2 linked regions of the Rhinolophus ferrumequinum genome follow. The protein of the gene in region 1 purifies or fractionates together with the protein of each later gene. This does not show direct contact. Links are inferred from orthologs where the notes say so. Each region holds a gene or a part of one and is shown on either strand. Other genes may lie near its edges.

What was found.
Region 2: the proteins of RPL13 (region 1) and NOM1 purify together in Homo sapiens (co-immunoprecipitation; 3 studies listed by BioGRID and IntAct, with this or other methods). This does not show direct contact. The link is inferred for Rhinolophus ferrumequinum from reciprocal best matches to the Homo sapiens genes RPL13 and NOM1.

What each region holds. Positions count from the first base shown.
Region 1 is NC_046298.1:34,032,102-34,039,324, reverse strand, and holds RPL13 (60S ribosomal protein L13), read right to left. Parts: upstream 3,045-7,223; 5' UTR 2,959-3,044; intron 2,773-2,958; 5' UTR 2,756-2,772; coding exon 2,652-2,755; intron 2,348-2,651; coding exon 2,206-2,347; intron 2,143-2,205; exon of another isoform or gene 2,059-2,142; intron 2,002-2,058; coding exon 1,828-2,001; intron 1,082-1,827; coding exon 1,025-1,081; intron 392-1,024; coding exon 233-391; 3' UTR 209-232; downstream 1-208. Other genes in the region: prostaglandin reductase 2, read left to right, coding at 5,030-5,947. UniProt on the Homo sapiens protein: Component of the ribosome, a large ribonucleoprotein complex responsible for the synthesis of proteins in the cell.
Region 2 is NC_046309.1:961,465-969,309, forward strand, and holds the start of NOM1 (nucleolar MIF4G domain-containing protein 1), read right to left. Parts: upstream 3,244-7,845; coding exon 2,200-3,243; intron 1,501-2,199; coding exon 1,373-1,500; intron 334-1,372; coding exon 138-333; intron 1-137. UniProt on the Homo sapiens protein: Plays a role in targeting PPP1CA to the nucleolus.

The sequences.
Region 1 (7,223 bases):
CAAACTGCTCTGATTAAAATAGGCAGCTCTACTTAAAAAATGGGATTTGTAAACTATCCACAGAATGCTATTATGGACAAACAATAGTCCTAAAATATAGAAAGGGGGATGCAATCCTGTCTCTGGCCTGCCTTGTAAAAACACCCTCACCCCAGCTGAGGCCCCCTACCCTGTTCTTACAGACAGGTATCAAATGGAGACTACAGACTTATCACAAATTGTCAACAGAACTTTATTTCTTCTTTTCAACATCCTGTTCTGCAGCTTCCTTGGCCCTTTTTGCCCGGATGCCAAAGAGCCGGGCATTGGCACGGGCCATGCGAAGGCTGGCAAATGCCTTGAAGTTCTTCTCCTCTTCTGTGATGACCCTGGCTTTCTCCTTCTTGTAGACCTAGAAAGAGTACAAGGAGTCAAACCCTGGCCTGCAGTGAGGCCTGTAACGAGGCCCAGGACCCAAACATCAGCAAACCCAGAGAGGTACTGGAAAGAGATCAAGTAGTGCTGAGGAAGTGAGTGGCCAGCAGCCGGCGAGAGCTGCCATGAGCTGCCGACCGACGACTGCCTCAGCCGGGGGGAGCGCAAGGCTCATAATACCAGCATGGGCCAGGGAGCTGCATCCTACACTAGACTGAGAAACAACGGCTTGAACCGGAGGGGAAGGGGGGAAGTGGAAGAAGAGGGGGAAAAAGAGTAATGCTGAAAGGCTACACAAAGGCCACCGAGGAATAGATCCCCTTTCCCAGAGGAACCTCAAGGGCCCAATCACTTGATGGGCAGGTTACAGAATCATCAAACATGCCCTGAGATTACCTGTGGCCTGGGATTTCCAACTAGCAAGAAGGAAAAAAGGACCCAACAAAGAGAGGAGTGACAAGTGGGGTTCCCCAAAAAAGAGCATACGGCCTTCCCTTGAGGAGTCCATTTGTTTAGAAGACAGGGTGCTCTTGCCACCCTTTACTCCCTCCAAGTCAATCTCCACCTCAACACACGTTCCCTTGTACATCCTCCCAACACCTCCACTTACGTTCCGTATGGGCATCACCGGGCCTGACAGCTGGGTGGCCAATTTGAGTTCTTCAGCCTGTTCACGAGAAGGGCGAGTCAAATGGGTGCAGCTCATTTACGTAAGGGCCCCAAGCTTATAACCCTCTAAGGCAGCCCCACCTCACATTGGGTGACCGTGTGCTTGGAAGGGCTAGGTGTCTGCAACTGCAAGCACACATTATGTGGGTCTATGTGCCAAGTAATGGCATGGCACCAGATTCCTATTCTATCTAGCTGACAGTCACAGGCAGCTGCAAAAGTGCACGTATACCTGAACAGATGCAGATAAAGCAAAACGTCAACTGAAGTGTAAACCCACTCCCCACCCAACTCCAGAGAAGCCTGTATGGATGGATGGACACTATCAACTTTGTTCCAAAAGTTCTTCTAGAAATATCTGTGTCATACGTAAAGCGTTTTAGAGAGCAAATCACTTTCAATGTAAAAAAACTAGGTCCAAGTCAAACAACTTTTACCATTCCTACAAAACAGAAACATCACATTTGAGGAGCACGTGAGTGAATATTGGCGGTTCTGATTCATTTATAAATTTTTAGGAGCTTTCCGCTCATTATCAATTCTCTACTGCCCATATGAAGGCCAAGTTTTGGGGGATAAAAAGGTTACAGGCAAATGCTTTCCTTCTCACCCCAGCTGGACCCAGCTACAGAAACTACCCCTGAACCAAGGAAAGCCACATGCTGGGGTTGGGCAGCCTCTCAGAGACCCCCACGCCCCTGACCACCCCTCTGCCCCACCAGGAGCTGGGAGCACTGTACTCACAGAGCTGTCTCCCTTCTTGGGGGCTGATGGCTTCCTGGGGAAGAGGATGAGCTTGGATCGGTACTCCTTCAGGCGCTGCACGTTGGCCTGCAGGGACTCAGTAGACTTGTTTCGCCGTCTAGGATCCACTGAGATCCCAATGGTCCGGGCCACCTTCTTATGGATGCCAGCCACCTGCCCCCAGAGACAGACACAAATGAAGCCCCAAGAAGCCTCTAATTTCCATACCTTAATAAAATCGCTCAGTCGTCAGATGGAAAAGGGTTCAAACGTACTTTCATCAAGGCAGTACAGCGATTCCGGAGAATGTCATCATTTGACTGTGAGCCCAAGAGACAAAACGTATGCTTCTGATAACGAGGTTTTGCGAGTACTCACCCGTAACTCCTCCAAGCTGAAGCCCCTGCCGGCTCGCACTTTGGTGTGGTACCTCACAGTAGGGCATCTCACGATGGGCCGGATGGGTCCCGACGCAGGGCGCGGAGCGATACGGCGCGCTTTGGCTTGCCGGGCCTTGCGTCTGAGCAGACAGAAACCAGGCAGCAGTTACCGTACCCCAAAGCTTGTCTCCCCCCTCGGGTGTGACGTCTACGGCCTAATGCCAAAGCAGGGACAGAGAGCGCAGACGGCCCCGCCCGCCAGCGACCCCAAGCCCAGCGTCCCCACCCACTTGCCCCCAATCATAAGGTCACGTCGGCTCTCCAGTGGAGCTGAAAGTGCTGCAGTTATGACATGGCAAAGGGTCCATGCGCACTTGCAACACAGGGAACACCGATTCCGAACACTGTCACTACCTGGCCGTGTACTCCAGGAGCCCCGCTCACCTGCGGATCTTCCGCGCTGGCTGGTTAAACCACGTGGCCACACGCCGCTGCCAGTCTTTGTGGAAATGGGGCTTCAGGATCATGCCATTTCGGCTGGGCGCCATGGCTGCTGCCTACCGGCCTGCAGAGGAAAGCAAGTCAGGGCTCGGGTTCCGGGCGGATGCCGCGTGCAGCCCGCCTTGGGCGCGGCCACAGAGCTCGGCCATAGGCCAGTGCTGTCTGCGCCATGGATCCGACGCCGATGGAGGCGGATGGAGCCCGATGGCATTCGAAGGCCTCCGCCGGCGCCGGACTAGAGCGTACCCACCTTCTCCCAGGGAGAACAGCCACCGGAAAAGAAATGGCGCCGCAAAGCACCCCGGGATGGCAGTGAGCCTGGCCAATCAGAAGTGCCGGGACGTTCTGACCAATCAGAGCCTGGAATCACGGAAGTGACGTATTCGCGTTCCCAGCCGACCTCGCGGCCCCTGGATAGAGATTGCGTAGCCTGCAGCTCCCAACAAAGTCAACGAGGGATGCTTCAGGCTGTAGGAGAGCGGTGGCGGATGGTTTCGGCAATGCCGGCCTTTTTCAGCTTCCGCACGCCCTGGGACTCGGTACGTTTTCCCAAAACCTAAAGCGTCGTCCTCTGTGCCCCAGTCTTTGTTCCTTCCCGTTTGGAACATTTGTGCTTCTTTAGGCCACACTTAGGGGTTGCTGTAAGCGGGGCATCCTGTACTTCACATGTATTTTTCACATGGAATCGCACAACCGCCTCTGCTCGGCGGAAGGATCAGGTAACTTCTCTGAGGTCGGGAGTAAGGGGTGGCACTAAGAATTCACGTGGCGGACTGCAGATGTCCCACTTCCCGCTGTGCATACGGCCTCCACAGAGGCGAGCATCATAAAAACACTAACTAGTCAGGCACACATCCATAATTTGTGCCTCGCGCGTCTCCTATTCTCCAAGTCTGGGAACTCGCCAACACCGTACTCCTCCTACCTCTTAAGCCTTTACTTCCTGCTAACCCACTTTCTTTCTCAGCTTTACACCAATCATCGAGCTTCCTCCTAGCAAAACTTAATCAACAGTTTAAGAATTTCATGACACAAAATGAGAAATTTGAAGCTCTGTGCTCCGCACTGGGAAAATAAGTTGCTGATAAAGTTTTCTGCTCTAGTGAGATACCCTTGGGTGTTGGAAAAATCACTGAGGAATTAACAAAGTTTTGACCTGGGGAACAGGAGGCACAGTCTTTTCAGATGAATGCACTGAGCCTACATGGGAAGTTCAAACCCTCACCCTGCCATTTAATAGATACGTGCTCAATTAGGAAACTGAGGGCAATAGCAGCCCTGCTTTTCCCACACGTTCTCAGGCACCTTGCAGTGATCCCACCATGGCCAAGATACTTTGCTCTTTGTAATCTCAAACATTCCTGTCCCCATCCCCAACTTCCCTTTCTGGATGGACCCACAGACTCAACGTATCTCCATCAATCCTAACCCTCACCTCCACCTGAGCTCCAGCTGCTTGTGGTCAAGACGCTGTCCTGGGACGCTGGGTGGGGGGTTAGGTCTGCTCAGAATCCAGTTAGCGGTAAGGAGGGAAAGTTGTAATTTGAGGACCTGCTCTGCTGCACACAACCAAACCAGACATAGAACCCAATTTTTCATGCTTCAATACTTCATACCTTACTTCAATCAAAAATTATGCAGAACAGCGAGACAAAAAATTCTGATACGAAAATTCTGTTGAAAACGTTCAGATTTCCTGTTGGGAAAGATTAGTGGGAAAGCTTAAAGAAGTGAACTGTTATGAACTGTCATGCAGAGGTCCTGATACAAAGGCTTGGGTGGCTCAAGGGTTTTAAAAATCTTTAGCTATAGGGATAGTTCTGTCCCTTGGCACAGAAACTCCACAGCCACAACTCTGCTTAAGGGCTTTTGTCCTGGACTTAGGCCTGAAAGGGCTAGCTAATGCCCCTGGAAGTAGCACTCAATTAAGGGGACCAGGGATTCCTGGCTAAGTGTCCTTGGGGGTGTGGCAGTGTGCTCTGCACACCCCCCAGCATTTCCTTGCAAGACTGAACCCCAATTACTGCCTGCTCGCTCATTCTGCCTCTGCACCTCACCGGCTTCCTCCATCTAGTGCTTTGAGGGTCAGCCTCAAAGAAATCCGGCCTAAGACAGTCAACTATAGCTTCTCAATCCCTTTCAGACACAGTCTTGATTGTTTAAATTATAGTGAAGTGATTTTTGAGTGATTTTTTTTTTGCGGGGGCAAAAGTCACGTCCCTATAGCACTTTGCAAAAAATTAGCACGTTAATCTTTGTCATATAAATATAGGCCGATGGTTAAATTAGGAAAAGCAGTGGCCTAATAATAAGAATGGATAATGGATATTCTTCTGAGGTCGGTGGCGGAATTATTTTATACAGAAATCTTGTGCGATCCCTATGCAAACAAGGCGATGATTGTACGAAGAGTGATACTGAATTCCCGAGTTGGGAAAAATGGTAATCCAGTGGCAGAAAATTTCCGAGTAGAAGAAGTAAATTTACCAGATAATATCAATGAAGGACAATTACAAGTCAGAACTCTTTATCTTTCTGTGGATCCTTACATGCATTGTAGAATGAATGAAGACACTGGATCTGATTATATAACACGTTGGCAACTGTATCAAGTGGTTGTTGGTGGAGGTGTTGGGATTATAGAAGAAAGCAAACACACAAATTTTACTAAAGGTGATTTTGTGACTTCTTTTTATTGGCCCAGGCAAACCAAGGTTATCCTAGATGGAAATAACCTTCAAAAGGTAGACCCACAACTTGTGGATGGACACCTTTCATACTTTCTTGGGGCCGTAGGTATGCCTGGTTTGACTTCCTTGATTGGGATACAGGGAAAAGATCATGTAACTGCTGGATCTAATCAGACAATGGTTGCTAGTGGGGCTGCTGGTGCTTGTGGATCTTTAGCTGGGCAGATGAATCAGATCAGCCACATTGTCCTGTGTGGTCAAATTTCTCAGTACAACAAAGATGTGCCTTATCCTCTTCCATTAACCCCTGCTATAGAAGCAATCCGGAAAGAAAGGAACATCACAAGAGAAAGATTTCTGGTGTTGTATAAGGACAAATTTGAGTCTGGTATTCTACAGCTGAGTCAGTGGTTTAAAGAAGGAAAGCTAAAGATCAAAGAAACTATGATAAACGGATTGGAAAACATGGGAGCTGTATTCCAGTCCATGATGACAGGAGGTAACATTGGAAAGCAGACAGTTTGCATTTCAGAAGAAACCTCTTTGTAATCTCTATAAATGTCTTCATCAAGGAAATACAGTTTTCTTTCCATTTTGCACAAAGATTTTGAAGATACATTAAAAAAACCTTACAGTATAGCTTTTGATCATAGTATGATCATAGGTGATATTTTCTTAGTTGCATAATTCTTTCTTATACCTTCAATATCATATACGTACTCTACATCCAACATGACTGTTTACAATGATAGAGTGAAGTCAACATGATCTATTTTTCTTTCTTTTACTAAAACTAGTATTACATGTGATATTCTTATCAGATATTCCGAAACCACTGGAGATTTGATACAGCTGTTAATGGATCACACAAAACAAATTTTTTTAAATCAATAACTTTTATTTAAAATGGAATGCTTGAGAAGGCACTTAGTAAATATTTGTTTTACATAATTCTTGAATTGAAAGTTGGAGTAAGAATAGAATTGGGATAGCCTTTCCATATTGTAGATGGAAAAGGGACTTAATGGCAGGGCGTCTGTGTAGAGGTTTGGGGGAATTCAGTGTCTGGCACATTTTTTGGGATAGGAGAGTAGAGGCTTTGTGTGAGGAGTGGTATGAGAAGGAAAGTAACAGGTTGGTTAGGTGGATGGAGAGACTAGATTTACTACAGAAGATGATCTGTTTGTGTTCTGCCAGTTTCCTGTAGAGCCTAAAATCTCAAATACTTAGTGATAAAAGCACATGTTTATTTTAGGTTAGCAGGCACATACTGTCAAATGGTTGTAAAGATTTCAAGGGCAAATAAATATAAATATCACTTGGAGTTTTAGGTAATCAAAAAGATTTAGACAGCAAAGAGAGCTTCAGAAAATGCCAGGACTGACTGGGAAAATTAACAAATGGTTGTAAAAACATGAATGTGCAAGACCTACTAATGTAACTCTAAATAAGAGTGTTTTATTAAATGTAAATCATTTAAACATTAAAATTGAGGATATTTTTCTGGGGGAAAAAAAAAAGAATGGATAATGTTACACTGTTTCATCACAAAACTGATAACCATCCAGCCTCTCAACTTTCCAAAATCATGGCCTACACATAAATCAGATATAGGCTAACTCAAAGGTTCCTGTAGTATGAGAAATACATCAGTGAAAGACAATTGGAAGTACATTATCATAATCATAAATATTTTAAAGTTCCTAAGAGAGTAGATCTTAAAAGTTCCCATCACAACAAAAAACACTTTGTAACTCTGGTGATGATGTTAACTACACTTACTGTCCTAATCCTTTTGCAGTGTATACAAATATAGAATCATTAC
Region 2 (7,845 bases), on another chromosome or scaffold:
GACACAGAAGCGGAAGCTGACCCAAACCAGGGGCTCCCCGAACGTGGCCACGGATGATGGGGTACAGACCGGATCGTACCGAGCCTTCCGAGGTCTGTCACGGAGACAAGCACGTTTAGACCCCGACAGAGCCCTACCTCGATTCCCACGGTGCGGTGAAGAATGCTGACCAAGAGCATGTGCTCCATCACCAGGCGACTGGGCACGGGCGTGGCCGGGGCGCAGGCGCTCATGAGGACACCCGTCAGAGTGTCGTTCATGTCCTTCCTACTGTGCGCCATGTACAGCTCCTCCAGCTGTCCGCTTATGGAGGCCATGTTGGGCTCACTCAACCTGCAGACGATTGAAAAGACAGCCACACGACGTTTCAAAAGAGGAATGACTTTCAGGTCAACTGAAATAAGTGAAAAAGCTATCAGTACCACCAACACGTCCTATTTTGTGTACACATTGCCCTGCGAACAATTCTTATTGGCTTTGACCCAGCCCTAATGACCCAGCTTCCACCGCACACAACACACACACTTCTGGACTCTTCATGTGCGACTGTCGTCTCTCCAGCTGAAGCGCCCCACAGCGAAGGACACGCAGGACTCCCTGTAAGACCACAGACTGTGCTGACGATGCCCCCCGGGGAGCTGACCCTTGTCCCCAGGCAGAGGCCGGGAATCATACTTGCACATCAGCATGCGTTGTTGGGAAAGCCTCTAGTTTCCATTTTCCCGCTGGCAGAAAACCTGCAGTGCCTGACGCTGAGAAAAGGCTGCCCTGCTTAGGGGGAGGGGGCATCTGTGCACAAAGCGTACACACCGCGTACACACCGCGTCTGTGCCTGTGCTCACACTGTGCACCCGAATGGCCTGTTCGGTAGAATCCAGGCTGTACCACGGGAACAGTGTTTTAACTAAAAAGAAATTTTTAAAAAAGCAGTGGGAGGGCGGTTTGCGTGACCATAAGCATAGCCTGAGAGAACCGTCCTGTGCCGGGACGGTTCTGTCTTGGCTGTGGGGTGGGGACCCAGGGCCTCTGGTGTGACGCAGATGGAGAATGAGCAAAGGGGATGGCAGCCCACCGTGGGGCCCCCACTCGACCCCGCAGGGAGGAGGGTAGCCTGCTACCCCTGTTTTGGGACTTGTCAGGACATCCACGTGGGCACTGTTGCTGCTCTCAAGCTCAAGGGTTCAAAGTACCAAAGAGCAAAGGTGGACATCCTGCTTGTCCAGGTCCAGCGATGTCAAGAAGGGAACAGAAAGGCGCCAATCACAACAACAGCCCCACCCCTTCACTTCCAGCTTAATTCCTGGGATAGTTTCTGTATTTCCAGGAAACAGACGTCTTTAAGAGACGCACTATGACGACGCTGTGAGGTTACCTGTTAATTAGGCCCTGCACGTGCTTCTTCAGCCGTTCCCGCTCTTCCCTTTTCTGGGCATCCACTGTCTCCTCAGCCCGCCTTACATGGGGTGGGATGTACCTGTCACCATTTTCACAAAGACTCTGCTTGAAAAGACAAAAAATAAATTACAAAAAATGTACACTGAACAAATCTCACTTTTTCCTTCGCTATAACCACCTTTACATGTTAATTTCCCCCAAACTGGCAGAAGCTGTAACTATTGACCATGTCTGCTCTATAGATGTCACATGTTGACCGAGTGCCCAGGACAGTGCTGGGCTTACTCCACTCAGCAGTCTGCGGGAGTCCCCACCTACATTGGCGTCAATACGTGTCCCTCTGCACTTCTTCAGACCTGCTGTGCCCCTCCAGGATCTGCCGGCAGAGCCCTGTATTCCACAGGTCTGTCTGGGCTTAGTTTACCGCAGGCAAGGATGTACACAAACCCCTAAATTAAATGTACCCCTGGTTTTCGAGGGATAGTACTCTAAAAGAATTTCAAGCTTGTTCAAAAGTAACATCCAAATTTACATGATAAAATCAAAACCAACCCACTGCTCAGTGTCCCCCAGATGATCAACAGTGGGGTGGCCATTAAGTCGCTGGGACACATAGTTTTCTAGAGAAGTTTCCTCCCTTAACTCATTACGGAAACTTAGAAACATAAAAGTAGACAGAATAAGCCGATTTCCGCACTCAGCTCACACAATTACCAATACATCAACTGTGCCCCCTCTGCCCCACGCCCCGCCCCCTCCCGTTTTTCTACGGGGAATCTGAGGACCCAGGTGTTCACACCGTACCTGAGGCGCTGCGCCAACAACCTCCGAGGAATTTTTACTTCTTTCTGCATCCTCTGCAAAACGGACTCTCTTTCCCTCCCTCTTCTCCCTCGCTCTCTCCTCTGCTTCTTGGGTTTCTCGCTTTTCCTCCTGGACCTCCTCCTCCTCCTCCTCCTCTTCCTCGCTCCGCGCTCCCGCGTCTACCTGCGGCTCGTCCTTCTCTTCCCCGCCCTCCTCCTCTCCCCATCCGTCCTCGGTGTCGCTCTCCAAATCGCTTTCGGGGAGTGTCTGGGTGGCATCTTCCTCCTGCTCACTGCTGCTTTCATACAAGCCACTGCTGTCCCCTGACCCCAGGACTCCCAGAATGTAGTCGAGTCCATCGCGGGCAAAGCTAGGCGGCACGGAGCTGGCGTCGTCCTTCCTTTTGCGCTTGTTCAAGCCGAGGCACCGCTCCAGCTTCCGGATCTCTCGGTCCTCCTCCTCGTTGGCTGCCAGAAGTGCCCGTTTCCGAGCGGCGGCGGCCGCGGCTGCCGAGGGCCTGGTCCTCCCGCGCGGTCCCCTGGCCTGGGCGTGGGCCGGGGCGGCCTCGGCCCGGGGAGGTGGCAGCCCCTCGGCCTGGGCGGGTGGCAGCCGCTCGGGCGGCCGCGGGGCCCGACGTGAGGACGGCTGGACGCCCTCCTCCTGAACCCCGTCCGCCCGGGGATCGCTCGCTCCCCTGGCTCCGTCACCGCCGCCCGGGCCCGGACCCCGCGCGGAGCCCGTGGTCCTCTGCAGCCGGCGCGCCTTCCTCAGGTGTCGCTTCTCCTTCCTCAGCTCCCTGCGGCTTTTCCTCCCGCCGGGACGCAGGCGCCCCTCCGCGCGGAGTCCCTCGCGGCCACCCGGGCTCTCTCCCTCGGAGGTCGCCTGCACAAACTCCTCCACGGCCAGCTTTAGCCGCTTCAGGACCCCCGCCCCGCCGCCCCGAGGCCCGCGGGACAGCCCGCGCCCGCTTCCGCGCTTACTACGGGCCGGTCGCCGCCGGCTGCCGCCCCAGCCTGACGCTCCAACACTCGTGGACGCCGCCATCTTCCGGGACGCACCGACGCTGACTTCCGTCCGGGGCGGGACTTCCGTGCTACACGGGGCGGGGCGGAGCGGCGCCCCCTGCTGGCGGGTGGGCGGCAGCGCAGGGAACCGCACAGCAGCAAGTGCGCCTATTTGAAGTTCATGTGAGTACGCAAACACGTTCTCACTTAATAATTGAAAAAAAAAAACAAAAACCCTACAGATTATGGTAAAGAAGCCTCTTCACGCCCTGCCACAGAAGTAACCGTACTTGTCGGCAGGGCGTGAATCTTTCCTATGGGATATGTACATTTACGTGGGTGTGCACATATCCCATAGGAAAGTGTGTCATGTTGTTTCCTGCGTGTATTTTACGGGGTCTCCATGCTGAACTTACTGTTCTGGGACTTGGTTTTGCACTCAACCTCAGGCCTCAGATGTCTCTGGTGCTGCGTAATGACTCACCTTCTGTTTCCGGTTGCTGGTCTCTCCTGGGATGCTGGTCCCCTCTTTATTCCTCTGTTGATGGACTGCACCGGGATGATTAGTGTCCCCAAATTCATGTGTACCAGAAATTGTGAACGTGACCTTATTTGGGAATAGGGCCTTTGCCGATGTAATCAAGTTAAGAGAAAGCCTTCCTGGGTGGGGGCGGGCCCTAAATGCAATGACAGGCGTTCCTGGTAAGAGGGAAGTTTGGACTCTGCAGGGAGGAGGCCGCGTGAGGAGCGACACAGAGATGGAAGCAATGCTTCTACAAGTCATGGAACTCCGAGGGTTGCGGGTCGCCACCAGGAGCTAGGGAGACACCTGGACAGATTCTCTCTTGCAGCCCCAGGAGCCAATCCTGCCCGCACCTTGATTTCAAAGGCTGAGGTGAGAGCTGAATGGGCCCTTCAAGGTCCAGTGTGGAGCGCTCAGGCACCGCCCACCTGCCTAGACCACTTCTCCTAGGGCAGGGGACCAAGGGACTCCCAGCTGTCTGGGGGTGAGAAGCAGGAGGAGGGGTGCCCGGGCCAGCCCTCCCATGCCTTCCTGAGTACCTCCGCTCTGTGCCCTGGCTGGTGGGGCTGGCTGATTTCTACCCGGAGGGGCTGTGGATGAGCGTGCAGGGCTGTGGAAGGGAGAGGCAAGAGCCGGAGGAGAAAGCTCATCCTGGCCTGTGTCCACCTCCAGTGCTACAGTGCCGCTGCTCACTCAGCACCCTCGCCCCCAGGGTTGAGAACCCAGGTCCCTCCAGGGTTCTCACTGCTGTTGTCACACCCTGGAGCCCTCGCCTCTCTCTCATTCAGTAATTTCTCTGGGGGTAATTGGGGAGAGGGAGTCAGTCCCCCTTGCTACTATCCCATTTAACAGGAACCAAACAGGTAAAATTCATTTCCTCCTACAGAGTGCTTAGAAGGGTTCTGGCACATAGCAGCTGCTCAGTAAATGCCAGTACCCTCCTGATTGCCTGGCTCCCGCCAGTCCTCTGCTTGCTCACATTCTGACCCCTGGATGCTGTGTCCGCTCTGGCTTCCCCAGGGCGGGATTTTCTTGTCTCTGAAGTCACAACTTCTAAGACTTTGTGGGGGATTGATGTGGGCAAATCTTGGGGATATTTTTCGTCCTCAGATCCCAATGTGAAGGAGGCTTTTGGCAGTTATTCTGGCTGCTTCTCCCCTAGAGGAGCCCTGTACCTCCAAGCCTGCAAACTGCTACGGCCTCTTCCCCAGGATCCTCTCAAGGACCCTTCCTCAGGACCTCTCCCCAGGCCTCGCCAGGCATTGGCCAGTTGATGGAGAGGAAGTTCTGTTTCTCCAATCCTGGTGAAAGGGCTGGGCTGGGGCAATAGGAGACTACCATCTGGCAGCAAACATAAAAGAACGTTGATGACACAGGGGCTGATGAGCGTGTAGGGAATGTGCACGTCGCCGGGCCAGCGTGCAGGCGTGTGCTCTGTGTGTGTGTGTGTGTTCCTGTGTGTGCCTGTGCCTGCAAGACACGGGCTTGGAGAGGCTGGCAGGGGCCAGGAGTGACAGGGGTGGCCACTGGTGCTCCATTTTGTGTTTGTTTGGGGAGCAGTGGGAAGCCGGTGCTGTAAGGAGAGAAGCGGGTAAGAGTTGGGGGGAGTGACCTACATTGACCTGCATTTGGGAAAGATGGTCCTGCTGCTTACAGCGCTGACCCAGGCGGTCAGGAACGACGCGCAGACAGAGGCTCTTGCATCAGACACTTGTCCCCCAGCAAGGAAAAATTGTTGGTTGGGGCTTTGCCTGACAGCTCTTTAAAAATAATAGCACGAATGATCTATTAAGAGTCATATGACATACAATTTAAAGTGTGACCTTTTAACTCAGTGTCTTAGTGCGTTCAGGCTGCTATAACAATACCACAAACCATGGCTTAACCCGCAGATGTTTTCTCCTATGGTTCTGGAGGCTGGACGGCTGAGATGAAGGCACCAGATTCCCTGTCTGAAGGGGCACCTTCTGGCTGTGTCCTCACAGGGTAGAGGGAGAGGGAGGGGTCCCTTTCCCACCGTGCTTGGATCCCATCCTGAGGGCTCCACCCCCATGACCCAATCACCTCCCAAAGGCCCCACCACTTAACGCTGTCACTGTGGGGACTAGGGTTCAACATAGGAACTTGGCGGACACAGTCCGTAACCCAGGTTCACAGGCTTTTTTGTTTGTTTGTTTCAATGCATTAATTTATTGATTGATTATTTTAAAATATTGTTTTTTTCTTTAATTTTTTTTTTCTTTTTCACCCTTCTTCCGCCTCCCCCTGACTCTGGTTCAAGCATTATTTCTCAGTCTAGTTGTGTAGAACTCAGCTCCCTGGCCTATGCCCTGGAGCTGTTGTTCACAATCTTAGCTGTAGAGGGTGCAGCTCACTGGCCCATGTGGGAATTGATCCCGCGACCTCGGCGCACCCTACTCCAACCACCTGAGCCACTGGGCCGTCCCTATTTTTTTCTGATACAAAAATAATTTGCTCACCATAAAAATGGAAATATTATAGTTATCTGTGTGTAATGTAGAAAGGGGAAGTCCTCCATAAGCTCTTCCTTCCACAAATTTATCAGATTTATCATGCAGATATTAACCTGCGTTACTGTGATTTTGTTACCAAAATAGGCTACACTGTTTGCAGTTTCCATCTTGCTCTGGGTGGTACAGCTTAGGTCTTGTTCCCCGTCAGTGATCTGGGTCCTGGCAGCAGCGCCACTGGATGCCTGTTAGCAAGTGGCGTCTCAGGCCCTCCCCAGACCCACTGAGTCAGGATTGGAACCTGCAGATCACTGACTCTGGACCCCTCACTCTTCTCAATGGCTTTATGAGCATAATTTACATAACCAATCTGCTAATGGAGAATATTTGTTTCCTTTTTAAAACGTACAATTTTTGCACTACTAAAATGCTATAGCAGATATTCCTCTGTGTGTGTGTGTGTGTGTGGGTGTGTTTGCAGGATTGTGCAAGTGTTTCACAAGAATATCATTCTAGAAGTTGCTTAGGGAAAGTGTGTAAGTATTTTGTTTTCATTAACACATAATGCCGCGTTTCCAGCCTTAAAAGCTGTGCCAGCTCGTGCTCACATTCCGTGTTAGGCTTGTGCCCCATACCCTCTGCTTCACTGACCCATCTCGGGTTTTCATTTTTGCCCATCTGCTGGGTGAAAGGTCAGCACAAAGATGCTGCGAGGTCACCCAAAGCCTCTTCTTCAGTTTCCTTCACCAGCCAGCCGCCATCGGTCAGACCTGGGTGCTGCCTGGTCTCTTTCTTTGCGTCCTGTGGCCACAGTCCCAGTGCAGCCCAGCCAGGCCCTCCCTTTGTCCTCTGCAGTTTCCTGGCTGCCAGAGTTGGCTCTAAGCCTAAACCTCTCGTGCATTGTCCTGCTTCAGATCCTCCCGTGGCTCCTTGTGGCCTGCATACCGGCAGGGAAGCCTTGCCTGGGACACAAGACCTGCTCACACTCACCTCAGCCCAGCTGGAGCCGCCCCACCCCCAACGGATCCTGGGTTTTTCAGGACACGTGGGTCTCATACTCCTTGACTCCTCATGTGCCCTCTGACTGGAACACTCTCCTGCTTCCTGCCTGACCAACCCATCCTTGGCTCAGAGACAGTTTCCCTGTGTCCCGAGGTGGTCAGCTACTCCTACCCTAACCCTCACCTACGGGGGTTCCGTGGTCACCTCTGACCCCCACGCTGGACTTTGTGTGCCGAGGGAAGAGCTCAGACTCTGTCTTCTTCAGCTGCTTGCTCATTGCTCCCCTCCCACCCCCAGGGTCCATACCTGGCACACAGTAGGCACTCAAGTTTGTGTTGGGCAAATGAACAAATCAGTGAACAAATGACTCAGCGAAAGCCTTAGATTGAGTTGGGGCAGAAATGAACTTTCAGAGTCACCACGTCCACTCTGCTCCTTTTGGTATGTGAGCTGTCTATGGAGCAGTGGGGCCAAGAGCTGCAAGGCCCAGGTGGGGCTCACAGGGCCCAGGTGGGGCTGCAGGGCCCAGGTGGGGCTCACAGGGCCCAGGTGGGGCTCACAGGGCCCAGGTGCGGCTGCAAGGCCCAGGTGGGGCTCACAGGGCCCAGGTGGGGCTCACAGGGCCCAGGTGGGGCTGCAAGGCCCA